Macaca fascicularis: one gene and its partners. The main gene of each other region encodes a partner of the protein of the gene in region 3 in a complex. Links are inferred from orthologs where the notes say so. Each region holds a gene or a part of one and is shown on either strand. Other genes may lie near its edges. The genes, in order: FRS2, NTF4 and NTRK2.

Evidence for each region.
Region 1: the proteins of NTRK2 (region 3) and FRS2 are in contact, whole or in part, in an NMR structure (PDB 2MFQ), measured with the Homo sapiens proteins. The link is inferred for Macaca fascicularis from reciprocal best matches to the Homo sapiens genes NTRK2 and FRS2. Residues at the interface, in NP_001018074.1 of Homo sapiens: Pro498, Asp499, Val501, Ile503, Gly504, Met505, Thr506, Lys507, Ile508, Pro509, Val510, Ile511, Glu512, Asn513, Pro514, Gln515, Tyr516, Gly518, Ile519; in NP_001036020.1 of Homo sapiens: Val26, Asp27, Asp28, Asp29, Gly30, Tyr59, Leu60, Cys61, Leu62, Arg63, Arg64, Tyr65, Gly66, Tyr67, Asp68, Ser69, Asn70, Leu71, Phe72, Ser73, Gly77, Arg78, Ile86, Ala88, Lys90, Phe98, Gln102, Met105, Gln106, Ser109.
Region 2: the proteins of NTRK2 (region 3) and NTF4 are in contact, whole or in part, in a crystal structure (PDB 1HCF), measured with the Homo sapiens proteins. The link is inferred for Macaca fascicularis from reciprocal best matches to the Homo sapiens genes NTRK2 and NTF4. Residues at the interface, in NP_001018074.1 of Homo sapiens: Phe291, Glu293, Thr296, Ser297, Asp298, His299, Cys302, Pro304, Thr306, His335, Val336, His343, Gly344, Cys345, Asn350, Thr352, His353, Met379, Gly380, Trp381, Pro382, Gly383; in NP_001382418.1 of Homo sapiens: Gly81, Val82, Ser83, Glu84, Thr85, Ala86, Ser89, Arg90, Arg91, Gly92, Glu93, Leu94, Ala95, Asp98, Ala99, Ser101, Gly102, Trp103, Thr105, Tyr135, Phe137.

Annotation. Positions count from the first base shown.
Region 1 is NC_088385.1:76,244,837-76,249,152, reverse strand, and holds the start of FRS2 (fibroblast growth factor receptor substrate 2), read right to left. Parts: upstream 2,876-4,316; 5' UTR 2,735-2,875; intron 1-2,734. UniProt on the Homo sapiens protein: Adapter protein that links activated FGR and NGF receptors to downstream signaling pathways.
Region 2 is NC_088393.1:57,038,679-57,042,828, forward strand, and holds the start of NTF4 (neurotrophin-4), read right to left. Parts: upstream 2,918-4,150; 5' UTR 2,798-2,917; intron 1,474-2,797; exon of another isoform or gene 1,407-1,473; intron 1,122-1,406; exon of another isoform or gene 1,117-1,121; 5' UTR 993-1,116; exon of another isoform or gene 870-992; intron 1-869. UniProt on the Homo sapiens protein: Target-derived survival factor for peripheral sensory sympathetic neurons. May promote ameloblast differentiation and subsequent reduction in proliferation of ameloblasts.
Region 3 is NC_088389.1:115,652,946-115,655,895, reverse strand, and holds part of NTRK2 (BDNF/NT-3 growth factors receptor), read right to left. Parts: intron 1,012-2,950; coding exon 853-1,011; intron 1-852. UniProt on the Homo sapiens protein: Receptor tyrosine kinase involved in the development and the maturation of the central and the peripheral nervous systems through regulation of neuron survival, proliferation, migration, differentiation, and synapse formation and plasticity.

The DNA of each region.
Region 1 (4,316 bases), on a different chromosome or scaffold from region 3:
AGGAGAAACACACAGGTTTTGGCACCAGACAGATTTGGATTCAAATTGGGGCTGTTACTGCTAGCCACATAGCCCAGGCAAGTAACTTAACATATTTCAGCCTCACTGTCCTCATCATTAAGCTACTTACATATTGCTGTGAAGCTAAGAAAATGTTGTAAACAGCAACTAGCATTGAGTCTGTTCAGTAAATGCTGAATAAATAGTAGCTTCTGAGCTATCTCCACAAATTTCCATTACTCAAGCTAAAAATGAACCCTTTCTTCTTTTGTGTAATTTACTCCAAACTTTACCTTAAACCACCCACGTAAGTATTTACAAATGTTTACGTTGTAAATGTTTACACAAATCTCATATCTCCTTCTAGATTTCAAATTTCTAAAAACCAAAAATTTAATCTTTATATCCTAAAATGCCTAGTATAGCACTTTTCATTAAGCACTCAACACCCATCGCCAAAGTTAAGTCCCAATTTAAAAAAAATTTTTAGTATGCCTAAAGAATACAACTCAACTCTTCATGATTTCAGAAATTATTACCAAAACATGAAGCTCACCTGTTATGCCTGTACCTTTATTTGCTCCTTTATTGCCTAACTAGCTTGATGCACAGCAAATGCTCAGTATCTGTTGAATTGACTTGTATAATATAAAAATACAATCAGTATCTGATTTTCCCCACCTTTCTCTGCTCTTAAATCTCTTGAAATATTTCCCTTCAAAACACACTGTCGTACCTGCAAATCTGTAACTACACCTAACTTAACTATTTTTCCAGATTCTCTCAATTCCAATATTATGCTCTAAATAATTAAGTACTTCACATGTTGAATCTACAGTTTCTATCTAAATTTAAAAGTTGTGCAAATAGGCTGGGCATGGTGGCTCACAATAGTAACCCCAGCACTTTGGAAGGCCGAGATGGGAGGGTCACTTGAGCCCAGGAGTTCAAGACCAGCCTGGCAACATAGTGAAACCTCGGCTCTACTGAAAAAAAAAAAATTAGCCAGGTGTGGTGGTTGGTGCCCCTAGCCACTCAGGAGTCTGAGACAGAAGGATTGCTTGAGTCCAGGAGTTGGAGGCTGCAGTGAGCTATGATGGTGCCATTGCGCTGCAGCCTGGGCAGCAGAATGAGGCTGTCTCGAAAAAGAAAAAAGAAAAGGAAGGTAAAGAAAAGAAAAGGAAAAAGAAAAGTTGTGCAGCTAATCTCTCCACAATTTTTTCCAAGGACTTTAAAAATCATCTACCCTTTGCCTCTTCAAAATCAACAACCTTGAAATAAATTTTCCTTTGCATAGGAAAGCTCACTGAACTTGTCACTTCAGTCTATTTTTCCTGATTCATGACACCACCTCCCCTTTCAGGGGTGGGAGGAAAGAGAATGACATAAGTACCCAAAAAATTACAGTATAAATCCTAATCTACACACAAGATAAGAGGTGCAGATAGTGTCACTGGTTTCAAGAAGGTGATTTGTGTATACTTTACGCTGCAAAAACAGTGGCCATCTGCTAATAGCAATAATCTGCAGTAACTGCATTCCCTTATAAAAAGTTCTTAAATCACCATTTATTGTGGAAAACCCGTTATTTCCTACAAACCTTTCAGCAGTAAAGTTTATTACCTAAATTCTGTTCACTAAACGTACCTACATCACTTTCTCCCCTAGGAAATCCTCAGTTTATCCGAAGTAAACACTTCACGGAATAAGTTTAAACAAACAAAACATCTCTGCCCACCTGTGTGAAATTCTGCATTGCAGCAACAATTTTAACAGTGTAAGGAATCTCTCAAGAAAATCCAAGAACAATTTTTCTTTAAGAAATATGACAGTTCCAAATATGAAGGTAAACAAACTTTGGGAGAAAGGATATAATAATTGTCCAACTCTTTGCAATCAATTCGTATAGCCTCTGAATGAACTCATCATACAACTGTGACATCAGATAGCCAAAAGAATTAACAGTGCAGAGAAGAGAACAGCATCTTTATTTTTTTTAATATGTCTGCAAAAAAAGGCGGGGGGGGGGGTGTCTAAACTACGGATTTTCCTTAAGCAAGTTTTTTTTTTTTTTTAAAGTTTACTTCAATAACAGCTTCAGTGAGCTTTCAAGTGAGTAAAGATGATACAGAGCATGCTGGTGCCACAGCGACCTACGTATCCAGAACCGCTTCCAAGCCCAGTCCAAATCGATCCCGGACAACCCAGAAGCAAATCTGTACGAAAAGCCCTGCAAAAGATCCCTGGCATTTAGAGGCAGCGCCCCACCCTGGAGTGAAAAGACGACACCCCGGGGACCCGGGTTAATTACTGAGCCCGGGACAGACCCAGAGGAGACGAAACGTCGGGAACTTGAGCCCAAGATTGAGCCTCAGGTCCAGCTACTACCCCAGGCCAGACACAGAATACCAAACTGGGGAGCGGCGAGGTTTGGGGGAGCACACATGAGGGGGTCGGACGGACGGAGGCCCAGCCCATCCCCACTCCCGAGTCCCAACAGCAACAACAGCTCTGGGAACCCCCTTACTGGCTCCGCCCCGCCCACCCCATGGACCCACAGCCCTCTTCTTCCCGTCCCGCTGGCTCGGAGAACTCCGCGGCGGTCGACAATCCCCTTCCCCGGACGCCGGCAGCCGAGCCCTCAGCCCGGATCCCGAAGCGGGCAGCAGGGGCACGAAAACGCCAGCCTGACGCGGGCCCGCGGCCGTCCCAGTCCGTTTCCCTAGCCACTCACCGTCGGCCCAGGTGCTGAGAGGGAGCAGAGCGCGGGTCGGCGGGCGCGAACCCCCAGACTCCGACCGGGCTGGAGCCCCTACTTGGAGCAGATCGAGTCTCAGCCGCTGTGCCTACAAGGCCTCTCTCCGGCCTGAATCCTGGAAAAGCACTTCCGGGGGAGCGGGGGAGGGAAGGGTTTTGGCACCGGAACTGCTCTCAGCCCGGAGCTGCCAGGGCCTCCAGGCGGGGCGGGGACTCTCTCGCCCGGCGCCCAGAAATCAGCCTTTGGGCTCTAGCTAACCCTTTCCGCCCCGTGCCTCCTCGGTTCCCCGGCTGCTGCTGCACCCTTTGCTTTAACTGCTGTTCGAGTTGTTTTACTCCGGCCACCTAATTTTACAAATAAGGAAACCGAGGCTCTGAGAATTTACGTGCAAGAATCCAGCGCATACACCCGGCCTCCCGACTCCCTTCAGTGTATTCTACGCTCCAATCTGCCTCCTTTAAAAAATAATGATAATAGTTAACACTTATTGAACGCTTACTACGTGGTAGGCACTATTAAGTCCCTTCAGGTGCATTAACTTATTTAATCATCCCCAAACTCCTTGGGGTTGGTGCTGTTATCTACATCTTGCAGGGGAGAAAAACGGTCAAAGATACCAAACCCAACATCACAAACGTTGGCTGCTTGATTTTAATTCATGTGTGTATAAATCTCACCTACCTATAACAAGATTTTTAAATTATTTAAGACAGGACTCAAACTATATTCCTATATTCTGTCATCACTGGCGAGTTCAACAGAGGCTAGAGCTAGGGTGGAGGGGTTGGGGTGGGGACCTGGAGTCTTTTCGCTTGTCTCCTTTTATTTGCTTTTATTTTTTCACCCTGGCAAGTTACAAAATCATCTCTGTATTGTAGGAATCCAAAATGATAATGCATGATAAACATTTCAGTGTCTGGCACTGGATAAAAGTCAACGATTCTTATACCTCATTAGCAATAGGCAATAGAAAAGATTAGTTAAGGAAATAAGAAAGAGTAGAGGTTTTTACAACGGGAAAAATGCAGGTGCTTGGGAAACGCCGTGCAGAGATAGCATGAGGTCCCACAGAGTTACATATCAGACAGGGAAAGGGGACGGAAAGGAGGAGGGGAGGATTCCTCAGCCACAAAATGAGAAAGGCACCAGATAACTGAGGCAGATTCTGTATCTGGGATGCAGGGAAAGAAAAAAAAAAAAGCCTCTTAACATGCATACTATCTGCAAAACAAATGTACTAACATCTCTTGATACGGCGGGGGGGACGAGATTTTTAAATTTTTCTACTATGAAAGGCAGGGGAAATGAAAAAATGTGAAAACCCATTACTACAAATTTAAGATGCAAACAATGCCATTGCTCTTGGCTTTATTTACAGGGCTGTCTTATTTATTTTATTTTAGTGATCGCAGAAGTGTTTGCAAATATTTCTGTAACACTCAAATTCAAGCAACCTTTTGTGCCTCAGGGTGTGAAGAAGTAAAAAACAGCGTAGGTTGGCAGGACTCACCGACATCTCTTTTTACTCAAGGCCTAAAGGGATAGTGAGAGGAATCCT
Region 2 (4,150 bases), on a different chromosome or scaffold from region 3:
TTTAGACAGGGTCTCCCTCTGTTGGCCGGGCTGGAGTGCAGTGGCTCAATCATGGCTTACAGTAATGTCTGCCTCCTGGATTCAAGGGATTCTCCTCCTGCCTCAGCCTTTTGAGTAGGTGGGATTAAAAGTGCCTGCCACAGTTTTTCAGCTAATTTTTGTATTTTTAGTAGAGATGGGGTTTCGCCATGTTGGTCAGAGTGGTCTTGAACTCCCAACCTCAAGTGATACTCCTACTCTGGCCTCCCCAAGTGCTGGGATTACAGGCATGAGCCATGGCACCTGGTCCCAAACAAATTGTTTTTTTTTTTTTTTTTTTTTTTGAGACGGAGTCTCGCTCTGTCACCCAGGCTGGAGTGCAGTGGCGCGATCTTGGCTCACTGCAAGCTCCGCCTCCCGGGTTCACGCCATTCTCCTGCCTCAGCCTTCCGAGTAGCTGGGACTACAGATGCCCGCCACCACGCCCGGCTAATTTTTTGTGTATTTTTTTTAGTAGAGATGGGGTTTCACCATGTTAGCCAAGATGGTCTCGATCTCCTGATCTCGTGATCCTCCCGCCTCGGCCTCCCAAAATGCTGGGATTACAGGCGTGAGCCACCGCACCCCGGCCACAAATTGTTTTAAGACCAGGTCTCGCTATATTTCCCCGCTGCACTTGAACTCCTGGGCTCAAGCAATCCTCCTGCTGTGGCTCCTGAGTAGCCGGGACTACAGACTCAAGCCACCATGCCTGGCCACATTCTACAATTTGGAGAAAGGCCACAACCTGGAATCCTAGGGAGACCCCATTGCACCTCAAAACTGCCACTAAGGAGGGAAAACGCTGCCCCTCTGAGACAGGCTTCAGTTTTCCCGTGTGTGAAATTGACCTGGCGCTGGGAGAGGCTGGTGGAGGCTTGGATGTTGCAGTTTCTCTACAACATTCTGGAAGCCTGTGGTTCTGGGAAAGGGTGGTGTGGAGAAGACTGGGAAACAGTCAGTGGTTACCAGACCTGTCAGCACCTCCTCCACCTCGGAGCTCTGGGGCTGGGAGTCCCCAGGCTTCGGGGGGCCCCTGTGGAGGACACAGGTGGCCCCCTCCTTCCTGACATCTCAGGAGAGGGAGGGGGCAACCACCTAGGGGAAGAAAGGAATAGACAGGTTATAGAGGCAAGTGGGGGAGGGGTCAAATCCCTGAACACCCCCTCCCCAGAGTTCCTCTTGAAGTTCAGGGTACCCAAGAGTCAAGGCCCCGCCCCCTTTCCAGAGGCCCCTTTTCTACCCAGGTGATGGCTCCTGGCTGGGATGGGAAGCAGATGGAGGGAGGGGAGGGGAGAAGAGGGGAAGGGAGAGGCAGTGGATGAAGCAGGCTGGAAGAGATGACATCCCCCTCGGCCCATTCATCTCCCAGAGGGGGCGGAACTGACCTGGACACCTGGGTCCCTGAGGGCCCACACTCAAGAAGCCCTGGTTCCCCAAGCTGCTTCCTGGAATGTTCCCTCCTCACAGGACAGGCCAGGGCCCGCCCAAGACTTCTGCACATACCTGGAGTGACTGCCTGCCCTGGCTCCTCGGTACAGGAAAGGGGAAGGGTGGAGAGTGAAAGGAGCCCAGGCTGACCCAACCAGGACTGCCTTCTCCTTCACACCCCAGGGCCTCCACCTTCAGACCCAGGAGTTCAGATCCCCAGCGCCCTCCTCCCTCAGACCCAGGAGGAATCCAGGCCCCCAGCCCCTCCTCCCTCAGACCCAGGAGGAGTCCAGGACCAGGCCCCCAGCACCCTTCTCCCTCAGACCTAGGAGTCCAGGCCCCCAGCACCCTTCTCCCTCAGACCTAGGAGTCCAGGCCCCCAGCGCCCTCCTCCTTCAGACCCAGGAGTCCATGCCCCCAGCACCCTTCTCCCTCAGACCCAGGAGTCCATGCCCCCAGCACCCTTCTCCCTCAGACCCAGGAATCCAGGCCCCCAGCGCCCTCCTCCCTCAGACCCAGGAGTCCATGCCCCCAGCACCCTCCTCCCTCAGACCCAGGAGTCCATGCCCCCAGCACCCTTCTCCCTCAGACCGAAGAATCCAGGCCCCCAGCGCCCTCCTCCCTCAGACCCAGGAGTCCATGCCCCCAGCACCCTTCTCCCTCAGACCGAAGAATCCAGGCCCCCAGCGCCCTCCTCCTTCAGACCCAGGAGTCCATGCCCCCAGCACCCTTCTCCCTCAGACCTAGGAGTCCAGGCCCCCAGCGCCCTCCTCCCTCAGACCCAGGAGTCCATGCCCCCAGCGCCCTCCTCCCTCAGACCTAGGAATCCAGGCCCCCAGCGCCCTCCTCCCTCAGACCCAGGAGTCCATGCCCCCAGCACCCTTCTCCCTCAGACCTAGGAGTCCAGGCCCCCAGCGCCCTCCTCCCTCAGACCCAGGAGTCCATGCCCCCAGCGCCCTCCTCCCTCAGACCCAGGAGTCCATGCCCCCAGCGCCCTCCTCCCTCAGACCCAGGAGTCCATGCCCCCAGCGCCCTTCTCCCTCAGACCCAGGAATCCAGGCTCCCAGCGCCCTCCTCTCTCAGACCCAGGAGTTCTGGAATTCAGGCTCCTCCTTCTCGGGTACTAAGAAATGCAGACTCCGGGTTCCTCATCCTCCAGATTTGGGTGGGGGGTCTGGACTCCTGAGACCCCTCAGGGGAAACCGGCTGCGTATCTGGGACACTTCCCTCCTGCCTCAGTTTCCTCAGCCAAGCCCCGCCCCCGTCGGCCCCGCCCCCGTCCCTCCCCACCCGAGGGCAGGGCGACCAGGACGCCGGAATCCCGGGGGAGGAGGCGCGGAGCTCTTACCTGGGGCGCCCTCTTCGGCTCCCCCAGCTGCCCTCGCCCCAGCAGCAGCTCCTCCTCCTGCTCGCTGGCTGCAGGGACGCTCGCTGGCCCGCCGGCTGCTCCCTGCTCACTCTCGGCAGGGCCCGGGTCGGGGGCGGGGGCGGGGCGGCGCCGGACGGCAGAGGAGGGGCCGGGGGATCCTGCCTTGCACAGGCGTGCCGGGACCTTGGAAGCCAGGCCTGGCTCGTTCAACCCGGCCGCATTGGTCACAGGAGTCCCAGTCTCCAGCTGCCTCCTCCTTTAGACCTAGTAGTCCAGGTCCCCAGCCCCTCCTCCCTCAGACCCAGGAGTCCAGGCATCCAGCCCCTCCTCCCTCAGACCCGGGACTTGCGACCCCAGCCACTTCTCCCCCGAGCCCCAGGCGCCTGAGTACTAAGCCCACAGTTCCCCCCACCACCTCCCAACCCCGCCCCGTCTCAGACTCAGGAGTCCAGCCCCCAGCCTCCTCCTCCATTAGCCCCAGGAGTCTGGGCCTGAGATTCCTTTGCCGTCTTTTGCCAATTGCGTGTCAATCCCGGGGCAGATTCCCACTCTCTGCTCTCCTCCCCACTTCCCAGGAGCTCCACGCCAGACATTAACCAGCTGGGCTTGGGCAGTGATAAGGCCCCAGGCCCGGGGAGACAGTGGATGTGGGGGCTCCCGCATACTCCTCTCCCCTGGAATTTCCTGGATGGGGACCGGGGAGAGGGTCTTGTCCTGAGCTCAGATAAGAGACATGCAAGGTATTATAGGACCCAGAGATAGACAGATGTGTCTTAAGAACAATCAGCTCCTTCCAGAAATGGTGCGCGGTGACAGATGAAGGCATGGAAAAGTGGGGAGAGACCAAAAGAAAGAGGGGGATCAAGACTAGAGAGAGTGGGGGAGGGCAGAAGCCCAGAGAGAAGACAGAGGCCCAGAGAGACTGAGGGCAGACCCTCCGGAGAAGGGGACAGAGCCCCTGAGAGACCCTCAGAAAGACAGGGATGGGATCGGAGCTAGAGCGTCTCAGGACAGTCATGAGGGCAGCCGGGCTCCTCACCCCACCACACCTCCACCCTGAGACTCTGCCTCCCTCTGCCTGTGCTATTTTCAGAAGGAAAATTGACACCTGCCTCAGGGGTCATCCCACACCCCCTCAGCCTAAATATAGCATGGCAAGGTGGCAGGAGGGTGTCCCCGGTTAGGGTGTTTCCTGCTCCTCACAGTTATTTATTGGTGGGGGGAAGGGCCACTTCCCAGGCTTTGGGTGTGTGTTCGGGTCACCTCTCTGGCTTCTCCACATTTCCCTGTTCCTAAACACCCAATACATCCTGCCCCATAGCAGGAGGACTC
Region 3 (2,950 bases):
GGAAAAGCAACTCACATCAAAGAAATGTTAGCGCAAGAAACAGCAGAAGAGGGGCTTTTACAAAAGAAGCCCACTCTTGGTTTCATTTTCTCAGAAGGAAGAGAACAATTATTATAGGTTAGTTTATGTTGTGTTTAATTTGATTGGCTTATATCCATTTTTCCAAGCCACTCTGATTTCACAAAACTGGTGGAAAAGTAATTTATATGGAATGCTCCCAAACCTCACACTGGAGCTCCCGCATGTTGTGGTTTTTATTGGTCTGAGATGGAACACGAGTCACTTGTGTGTTAAGGCACTGACTGACAGGAAACCTCGCAGGCTATTGGATAAAGGAACTGGATTAAAAAGACAGACATGGATCTGGAAAAGATGTGGGGTGCCTGACCAAGAAGTTGTGCCTCAAATATAAACATATTTGCAAGAGTAAGAATAGAAAAAACAAAACGTTTGAGTTTTTCACTAGAAGTTAATGTTCTGGTGAAATATTCAAAAGGGAAAGGACCTTGAAACTTCGTTGGAACAATACTAAAGAACTTGCTGGACTGTATGGGTTCTGGAATGCTACATCTGCTATTAATTTATCAGATGAGCTGCATAAAGTGACTCCTCAGTCCCACCACCAGAGGGGCAAGGACATATCAGCGAGTGCTGTGCTTTGCTTTCTCAGAGTGACTATACTTTGACCATGAAATTTAGAAACATAGCAGGCTACATGGGAAGTGCTGCCGCCAACAAAACCCCATAAGATAACGTCCTGACATGGTCTTCCAACCCAAAACAAGGCCCCAGCTGATGGAAGCCTCTGGGATCTCAGCCCTTTGGAGGGTCTTGGCCAGACCCATTGCACACCTCGTTGTTTGACAGCTGGTACCAGGGCTGTTTGCCGTAGGTGAAGATCTCCCACAACACGACCCCCAGGCTCCAGACGTCACTTTCTGTCGTGAATTTCCTGTACATGATGCTCTCTGGAGGCATCCAACGAATGGGCAGCATCGTGTGGCCACCGACCTGGAGAGAAAGGGATCAACAGGGAGGCATCAGTCACTCCAAAACCAGGTGTGGAAGGGAGATGCTGGGGGACACTGCTTGCTTTCCTTATTTGCACTTTATAGTTTTAATTGTTTATAAACACATAAGGGATATATGATTTCTTCATAGTCTCAAGCAACAGAGACAGAGGGCAAAGAGTGATCCAAATCATTTAAAAATATATTATTTGCAATTCTTTCTCTCAAAACCAGATAGGAGCAGGGATGATGATTAGGTAGATGATCACCTTGGATAAATAAAACTACACACACATACATGCACTTTCTGCTAGGAGGATGACTCAATCTTCTAATTAACAAGATCACTTTGACCAGGAGAACGAAAAGGGGCTCTGCATCCAAAATGACCAACCAGTGACTCTACTTCCTTGGCAAGGCTAGAGCCTCCTTCTGCCTTCAGGTCTTATGTGTACATGATGCTGACTCAAACCCCTCCATCATCACTCAGCGATAGGCAGGTCAGGCATTATTATTCTCCTTCTACAGATAAGGCAATGAGATTCAGATTGCTTACAGACACAAAAACTCAGGTCTTTGGATTCTAAGCTCAGGACTTTCCTCTATTACAGGGCACTGCTCCTTAGATTATTTACCACAATAGATAAATACATTTTTTTAAATGCCCACTTTAATGAAAACACCAAGACTGGGGCATCAGATAGCAATTGCATTAGTACAGGCAAAGAAAACTTTCTTTGACAAAGTAAAATTGTATATGACTTTCTACTTCGTGGAGGAAAGTTAAGAAGCTCATTTCCGGGTTTGTCAGGGATGCCTGATTTCAAACCCATGAACAGATTTCTGCACAGTAGTCCTGTGGCTGGTAAGTTCCGCTTTTCATCCTGGTAACCCCCCAGCACCACCAGGCTACACAGTGTGCTTGACACCTGAGAGCAGGTGGGCTTATCCTACAGCAAAAAGTTGGACCTCTGTAACAACTCTGGGTCCTGAGTTTATAGAGTAATGGTGCATAGAGTTTCTGCCCAATTCTAATCCTCAATATCCAGTTAGTATTTATTAAAGGAAGAAAATAAACTAACAGTACCTGAAAAATATTCCCCTACCCCAGAACCTAAGAGGCTGAAGTGTCAGAGATGTCTAACACGCTTGGTGATTCCCAGTGATGTTCTTAGCACCAAAGAAAGCACAAGAGTACAAAAGGAGGAGGGTATTTTATTTCATTCTTCTCTGTATGATGCATCCAAATTTGACAAATAGGGACAAAAACTACTGGCTCAGGTGACCATCTTTACTATTCAGCTTTTAATAAACATAAAGCTCATAAAGGCTAAGTTGGTTTTCATTGGTGTTAGATTTCCTCTCTCTTCCTTCAGCAGTGACAGGTCATCAGTGTTTAATAGACAGAGACTTCTCTTATGGTCTTACCTCATGTCTGAAGGTGGTGGCAACAGTCACCCTCAGGGTCGATACTCAAACTGCACAGACACTGACCAACCAGAAAGGATGTGGGTGGTAAACATGGGTACAGCTATCTCAGCGCATTTCTGGCTTGGTGAATATCTGCCCTATTCATAACTCTGTGACCCCTGGGTACCTAGGACTTTGGGAGAGGGAATCTGCTGATGTTTCCAGATGCTTGGGAGGACTTGCAGTATGAGGGTAGAATGATCCCACCAGGTCTGGGCAGCCCACATGGCAGTGGCAAGGAGAGGACTGCTTTGGACCATTCAAAGATGCTGCTGCCACCTTGCAGAGCTAGGCAAATGACCCTTTTGTTTATGTGCCAGAAAAGGCTGGGCACTTTGGCACACACATTTTCAAAGATTGTTAACCCCTAGAATAAAGCATCTCTAGTCTCCTTGCCATTCTCTGAAACCATAATTGGAATGTACCATATAGTTTAGAAAACATCTACACACGTCCGGTGCCATTTAATT